2 linked regions of the Ovis aries genome follow. The protein of the gene in region 2 interacts with the protein of the main gene of each other region in a pairwise test. Links are inferred from orthologs where the notes say so. Each region holds a gene or a part of one and is shown on either strand. Other genes may lie near its edges.

Region 1 (3,745 bases), on a different chromosome or scaffold from region 2:
CTTCTGTGAGCGGGCAACACTGCCCTCTTCTCAGCCTCCCTACTCCTCTTGACAGATGTTCATCAGCTGTAAAGTTCACCCTCGAAGGACCCACTTGTGCTATTTTCCCATGTACCTACCCCACTATAGTATTTTTCTTTTTTAGTTTCTCCATTTTTCATGAGTTTAGAGATTTACACAACCACGGCTGCTGAACAGCGTGAGAGAGCGGCCACAACGTCCCTCCTGCTCCTTGCTGCAGGGGCAGGCCCTTTCGAGTTACCTGGCTTGAGCGTGGTTACCATCTGGGGGTAAACATAGAGTTTCTAGGAGGTTTTTGACAAGACACTGACCCTAATGCCCCCAGTACCACCGTGCAGGTCCTGCAGGCTTCCCAGCCTCCTAGGCCCTTCCCGAGGTCCCTTCAGAACTCAGGGGACTCAGTCTGCCCCCTGGGTTTTCCCTGCACAAGCTTTTGCCCCCTCTGGACCTGGGTTTCCCAAATGGAAAACGAAGGTGTTGGTATGGAGGCCCCCTGGGCTCCCCTCGGCTGTGCCTCTGTGTGGTGATGACAGCTGCCCCTGGGGGGGGCAGGACTGGGGCAGCTGCAGACACCCTCCCAAGGCTGCTACCCCGAGTGGTGTGGGGCGCTGTAGGCACTGCTCTGCCTGGCGTGCCTCTTGGAAACCAGCGCCTGCTGTTTGCCCAGGGAAACCGCCCGGGGGCCAAGCACCCCTGCTGTCAGAAGAGCTGCTGGCTGTGAGTAGATGCCAGTCTAGCCCTGAACCCTGCCCAGGCCTCCTGAGGTCTGAACATTGTAAAGTCAGGCCCCGGACGGCAACTGCCTCTCCCTCCTGCCGTCTGGTCTCCATAAACTGCATCTCAGGACAAATCTTCTCACTCACCAAGACTGCAGTTGTCTTTCTCAGTCTGAGATGTGCTGCAGGGCAAGTTGCAGAAGCTGTCTAGCCTAAGCATCTCATCAGATGCCCGAGACAAGTGCCATGGACACCAGGCTGGAGCCAGAGCTCCTCACGCTCTGCCCACCTGACACCGGGCTCCACCCAGTAAACACAAGCTTGATTTTCAAAAGTACCACCGACTCAGAGCCAGTGCTAAACCAAGCGCTTTTCCTTCCTGCCCGTTAGATCCGGTGAAGGTTTCTTTAGTTAACCTGCCAGTCACCACATGCCGCATCCGTGCCCACAGGCTGGCGAAGACCCTTCTGAGCTGCGGCACGTGGCAGGCAGTGGCGCCTCTCTCCAGTACGGCCAGCTGTCAAGAGGAGCGTTTCTGTGATAATGTGAAAGTACGTTGCATCCGGCCCCGTGTTTCATAAAAACCGGTGAGGAAAGGAAACACAGAAAGTTCTGATGCTACTGACAACATGGGTCTCCTAACTCAATACAAGTCAGACAAGCCACAGGGAGTCACAGGGACTCCCGAAAGCCTCACTGAGTGTGACCATCATGAGGCTTAATTCATTCACAGCGTATTCCATCATGAAGAGGGAAAAAAAATGGTAAAAAAGAACAAAAGAGTGAAATGCGTAAAACTGAAAACTGCTGCCAGGAGAAGCAAGCGTCGGCGGCGTTTGTGACTGCTGTAACTCCCCAAGACCCGCACTCGCCTCTCTACAAAAGGGAGGCACTGCTGCTCGGCGCTTGCACACCTGAACTGCGGATCCGTAATTTTAAAATGTGTGTGTGGACACACACGCACACGCCGGAGACTGCCAAAGGCTGAGGGACACTGGAAGAACTTCGTATACTTGGTGCACACTGCTAACCCAGCCGGCTCACAGTGCTGCAAGGTCACTGTTTAGGTAAGGATGAAGGGGTTCCGCGCTCGTTCCCTCGCACTAACTCAGAGTTAGTCCAAGATAGCCGAAGTGCCAGGTGCCTCCCATTTGCTGATGGATCTAGCTCAGGGCTGGCTGGGCCCTAGCCATCCAAAATCAAGCATCGTTCTCCCAACCTGTCTTCTCACTGATAATGGAAGATCAGAACGCCCACCCGCCCAACTCCAAGTCAAAGAGCACCAAGCGGGTGAGCCCCCGACTAAGCTCGGTGTTTCGAATCAGCGGTTTCAGGATTCCAGCTGGGGCAACGAGGGAGAGGAGGGAGCGTGCGAGGGGTCCAACTCCTCGCCCCGTGTGCAGCAAGGGATAACCCAACACCCCGTTTCTGTACGTCCGGCTGGAGTTGTGGAACTCAGCGCGGACCCGGGGCCACCGCGACCCCCGCGGCCAGGGACACGCGTGAGCGTTCCCAGACTGCGGAGCGCGGGGCGGGGCCTGCTCGACCACGCCCCGATAGACCACGCTCTCGACCCGATCCGCCCACCGCGTCCCTGCGGGACACGGGTGGGCGTGCCCAGACGGCGGGGGCGGGGCTGCTCAGCCACGCCCCAACAGGCCACGCCCCGATGCGCCAGGCCGCGCACGCGCACGCAGGCCCTCCGCGATGAATGGAGACGCGCGTTCCCGGCGCGCAGACCCGCCCCGAGGCTCCCGCGGGAACCGGGCCGACCGGGAGGCCCGGAGGGCAAGGATCGGCTACCTCAGAGCCGATCATGTAGAACTCGCCGTCGTCTTCCAGCTGGAACTTGACGGGCTTCTGCCCGAAGGTCTTGCTCAGCGCCATCATCATCATTGCGGCGGCAGACGCGGGCGGCCACGGCCGGGCTGCGAGGATCGGGAGGGCCGAGGCGGGGCCGGGGGCGCTCCTAGCCCGGGGAAGCCGACGCGGGAGGTGAAGGGCGGGCCGGGCCGGGGGCGCTCGCGCCGCCGCTGGGCTTCTCTGCCGCCGCCGCCGCAGAAGACGAGCAGGCCGCCCTCAGTGCGCAGGCGCGGGCGTTGACGCTGACGCGCGCGTCGCCGCCGCCGTCGCCGCCCTGACAAAAGGGCCGAGCGCGCCCCCGCGGGCCGCTTAAAGGAGCCTCGGCCCGTTTCTCGGCCTTCCCGGCCGCCTCCCAAGTGGAGGTACCAGGGAAGGCCGCTCACGGGCAGAAATAGCAGCCGCCGCCCTGACTCGAGCGGCGCCCTTCCCCGTCTCACAGCCGGGGCTGGCGTGCTGCCCTGGTGAGGAGGCACGAGGCGAGGCCCGGAAGGCCGGGAGGAAGCCAGAGGCTCCCTTGCCTCAGTTTCCCCGCCCAGAGGACGCTGTGCGGCTGAGCACATGGGCGGCCCAGGGACCAGTATCCCAGCTCCGGGCCAGCCCCCCGGCCCCCGTTCCTGTGGCTCTGGGGATGGGGCGGGCATGGGCTGAGACTACCGGGCTTGCAGGATTCCTAGGCCCAGCCGGCGTCTGTTTTGCCCGCTGAGAGCTGGGGAGGAGCGAACGTCCCCGTCCTCTCCTTAACTCTGTGCCCTGTGCCTCCCCCTGCCCTGGGGCGCTGGCAGCCCAGCGGGCCGACACACAGGGAGGCACCCGTGTATCCGGTGGAGCACGGCAGTAGGTCAGAAACGGCCCACTGCTGATGGCTGCCCATGTCAGCACCTGATACCTGGCAGCTATGAGAGGCGCCGCTATGAGCATCCACGTAGGGGGGTGTGTGTGTGTGTAGCGTCTGTGTGTGTAGGGTGCGTGTGTGTGTGTGTATAGGGGCGTGTGTGTGTGTAGGGGCGTGTGTGTGTGTAGGGTGTGTGTGTGTGTGTGTTTGTGTGTGTGTGACTTGCTCCGTCATGTCTTTTTGCACCCTATGGGCTGTAGCCATGGGATTCCCCAAGCAAGAATACTAGAGCGGATTGTCATTCCCTTCTCCA
Region 2 (3,745 bases):
AGGGGTGATAATAAAATGATCAGTCTTGGGAAAAAGAATCATTTTTGCTTGTTGTTAATCATTGCAAAAGATAATATCCTATTCTCAATTTTCAAAAGTTCTATGTGTTATTATACTTCTTTGAAGAGAATATGAGTGGTTTTATCTAATCCCTAAATAGGAGGAACAATTTATACTAATATTATTTTATATGAAGTTACTACCGGGGAAGAAAACATTACAGACATGATGATCAGAAATGCTCAATGACTGAAATAAACCACACATTTCTGTGTTTAACTTGATAAATACATTTCTGCTTCAAAAAGTATTCTAGACTATTTGCTTGAGGGAGCTTTTAGAGCCAGTCCCAGTGAGGGTTCAGGAGAATAAAACTGCTGGCAACTAATCTTCTTTGGGATCCAACTTTAAGTTAAAAATCCTTAAAGGCCATCTATCTTTGGAGCAAGAAAACCATTTTTCTTAAAATCCTATCCTTCATTTTTAGCTTTATTCTTTATGGAGAAAATGCTAAAGAATACAAGGATTCAAAAAAGGAAGGCCTTTCCAAATGTGAGGTAGGACTGCAGCTTTAAGAACTTTTCACATCACATACTTCCAGTCTGGGCCAGATATTAGATAACGGGGGTGTTAGCAAATACTTGTGTCCAATTAGAACAGTGCTTGCATCATTACATATTCAATAAGAATGTAGCCTGTTGCAAAGCGTCTCCAGGAACACAAAGACTCCTATTCTTTCTGACCAGAGCCACCACACTTGCCAGAATGTCTGTATCTACATTCCATAGTGAAGTCCGTAGAAACCATTAATACCTTTCAGCCAAGGGGACAGATGGCTCCTTTTCATCCTTATTAGATCACAAATTAGTTGTGCATAGCGATACTTCTGTCTAACCTTGGGGCCACAATAGAACTTGCCGGCAAGAAAATAAAATTTCTGGCTCCACTAAGTTTCTTATCCTCCCATCCATTTCACATCTAAAACTACAGGGCAGAATTGTGCTTTTTGTGGCCTTGTAAAAGGTAGTCAACTTTGGCAAAACCGCAACCTAAATCAAACTGTAACTCTTCAAAATCAAAATATCAACGTGTTGCAAACACGAAACGGAAAAAAAAATGATTTCTTGGGAAAAGAATCTTGAAACAAATTAAAAAATGTTAAAGACCATGTCCTACGGAACGGTTTAATCATTCAAGGGCTTTTATCCAGAACTGCGGTCTCTCTGCCACTAGGGGGCTTGGCGCGCAGACGTGAAGTTTTGTATGATTCAGACTTGGGTTAAGAAACTTTTAGAATTGCTCGTGGGTTGGGCGGGAGGGTGGCGTCCCGTGGCTTCGAGTAGGAACGGAATCTACCAACCTGTCTGAAAGACTGCAGAGTGCTCTCGGCTTCCTCTCTCTGAAGCATCTCCTCCTGCAACCTGAAACAGTTTCAGATTAACCACAGGGGAACCGGGAAACCGCCAGGGGCGGGGCGACCACACCCAAACACCCAGTCGTGGCGCAGAGACCCAAGGGTTGCTGCGCCACCTCCGCGCTCAATTAGCGACCGCGGCTTAGACCTGCTGTCCTAGGCAAGTTTAAGCGGGACCTTGGCCTCTGCGTGGAAAAGCAATCACTGTCGCCACCCCGACCTGCGAGACGCCCGCCACCACCTCACCGCGGAGACTCTACAATCCCTTTGTCTCGCTCTCTCCACGGCCCGTTGGCTGGCAGCCAGCCAGAGGGGGACAGGAAACTTTCTCAAAGTTTGGGGAAATCGCGTTCATCCTTTTCTAGGGCCTTAGCAGCAGCAGCAGCAGCAGAGTACACAGTGGTAGTTTTTAAAAGTCTGCAACTTGAAACGTGCGTTCTTGGGCAATGAGTCGGGGTAGAGGGAAAATGCTAACTTGGAAGATTCTGGTTCAGGGCGGGGCCCGCACCGCTTAAGCCACAACCCTGCTCCCCCGCTGTCCCCCACCCCCACCCCCGGCAGCCGCCGCCCGGGCCACATCCCCAAGGGCGTGGCAGCTCCGGTATCCACTTCATCCCTCCCTCAGCCCCGCGTGGGCGCCGCCTTACTTCTCCCGGAGCCTCATGATGTCTTCGGCCAGGTTGTCGCGCTCCACCTCGACGCGGGCCTTGTCGTTGGTGAGCTGGTCCACCTGCCGGCGCAGCTCTCGCATCTCCTCCTCGTAGAGGTCCCCCAGGCGCGACTTGCCCTGTCCCTTGAGCTGCTCGAGCTCAGCCAGCAGGATCTTGTTCTGCTGCTCCAGGAAGCGCACCTTGTCGATGTAGTTGGCGAAGCGGTCATTGAGCTCCTGCAGCTCCACCTTCTCGTTGGTGCGGGTGTTCTTGAACTCGGTGTTGATGGCGTCGGCCAACGAGAAGTCCACCGAGTCCTGCAGCAGCCGCACGCCGGGCACGCCGCTCCGCAGGCGCACAGCCGAGGAGCGCGTGGCGTACACGCCACCCGGGGACGAGGTGTAGAGGGTGCGGCTGGTGGAGGGGCGCAGCGCACTGCCCAGGCTGTAGGTGCGGGTGGACGTGGTCACGTAGCTCCGGGTGGAGCTCGGCCGGCTCGCGGTGCCTGGGCCGCCGAACATCCTGCGGTAGGAGGACGAGGACACGGACCTGGTGGACATGGCTGCAGAGGGTGGCGGTGGACTGGGCGACTGCGGTAGCACGGACTGGCTCCGGGAGAAGAGGCGAGCGCGAGGGCGCGGTGGGTGTGGGCAGAGGGAGCGGTGCTGCGTCTCTGGCGCGGGGAGCCCGGAGCGAGAGTGGCAGAGGACCGGACCCCGCGCGGGGCGCAGTTTTTATAACCGCGTTAGGTAAGAGGGTTCCCTCCCACTGCCATCCCGGCGACGGAGTGCGCCAGCCAATGGGGAAGGCTGGGCGGGGGGTTGGGGCGGGGGCGCCCCGGAGCCGTCCTCCTCCCCCATCTTCCCCAACGGGGACTGAGCACAGCCCCGTTACTTCTTAGCTGGGCTGGGACTTTCAGGGGCTTTCCTGATGGTGGCCCGAGCTCTGCTCACCTCTGGGTGCTGATAAAGGAGGGGTCGCGCAGTGGTGCAGGGGGAACCCGCCAGGACTGGACCAGAGGGGTCCCGGGCTCCGCGCCAAAGAGCTGTAGGAGGAGGCGCGCGGGTGGGAGGGGCGCGCCGCAGCTGGGTTGCGCTTTACTGGGAGAGAGAGGATGCGGAGCCCCGCGGGCCAAGAAGCAGGAGGAGGGGGAGTGCAGGATCCCGCAGAACTGGAGGCGTGGAGAAAGAAACAAAGAGGGCCTGAGATTAGAGCGCGAGGTGGGGGCGCGCACAGCTCTGGACGCAGGGCTTGGGCCCCGCGCAGGAGTGTGTGCACAGCCCGCTTCGAAAGAGGATCTGATGCGGACCCCGTCTCTCTTCGTCCTCTTGTCTTGGGAATTCCTGTTCAGGGACCTAACGGACTGGGTCCCCTTTGGACGGTGCGCGCTTCGAGGCGGCGGCCGAGGAAAGCCTGGGGGAGAAGGGTGGGGTCGCTGAGTCACTGGCACTGAGTCACTGCACCCGGCTGTCCCGCCGAAGGCTCCTAGCGGTACAGGGAAACCGTTAGACGAGATTGACTCCAGCCTCCCCGGGCCTGCGCGCACAGTTTGTCGAAGTTTAACACAACTTCGAGCTGGGCCTCAGCTTTCTCGTGGGCAGTTCGCCTGCGTGAAGACTAGCGCGCGCCTGAGTTCTTAAGAACCCGACAAAGCCAGATTTTGCTCCGATATGCAGGCTTC

The links.
Region 1: the proteins of VIM (region 2) and SMARCB1 interact in binary tests that used the Homo sapiens proteins (3 or more experiments, as listed by UniProt). The link is inferred for Ovis aries from reciprocal best matches to the Homo sapiens genes VIM and SMARCB1.

The regions. Positions count from the first base shown.
Region 1 is NC_056070.1:71,287,845-71,291,589, reverse strand, and holds the start of SMARCB1 (SWI/SNF-related matrix-associated actin-dependent regulator of chromatin subfamily B member 1), read right to left. Parts: upstream 2,822-3,745; 5' UTR 2,634-2,821; coding exon 2,541-2,633; intron 1-2,540.
Region 2 is NC_056066.1:31,055,152-31,058,896, reverse strand, and holds the start of VIM (vimentin), read right to left. Parts: upstream 2,772-3,745; 5' UTR 2,625-2,771; coding exon 2,062-2,624; intron 1,422-2,061; coding exon 1,361-1,421; intron 1-1,360. UniProt on the Homo sapiens protein: Vimentins are class-III intermediate filaments found in various non-epithelial cells, especially mesenchymal cells. Vimentin is attached to the nucleus, endoplasmic reticulum, and mitochondria, either laterally or terminally.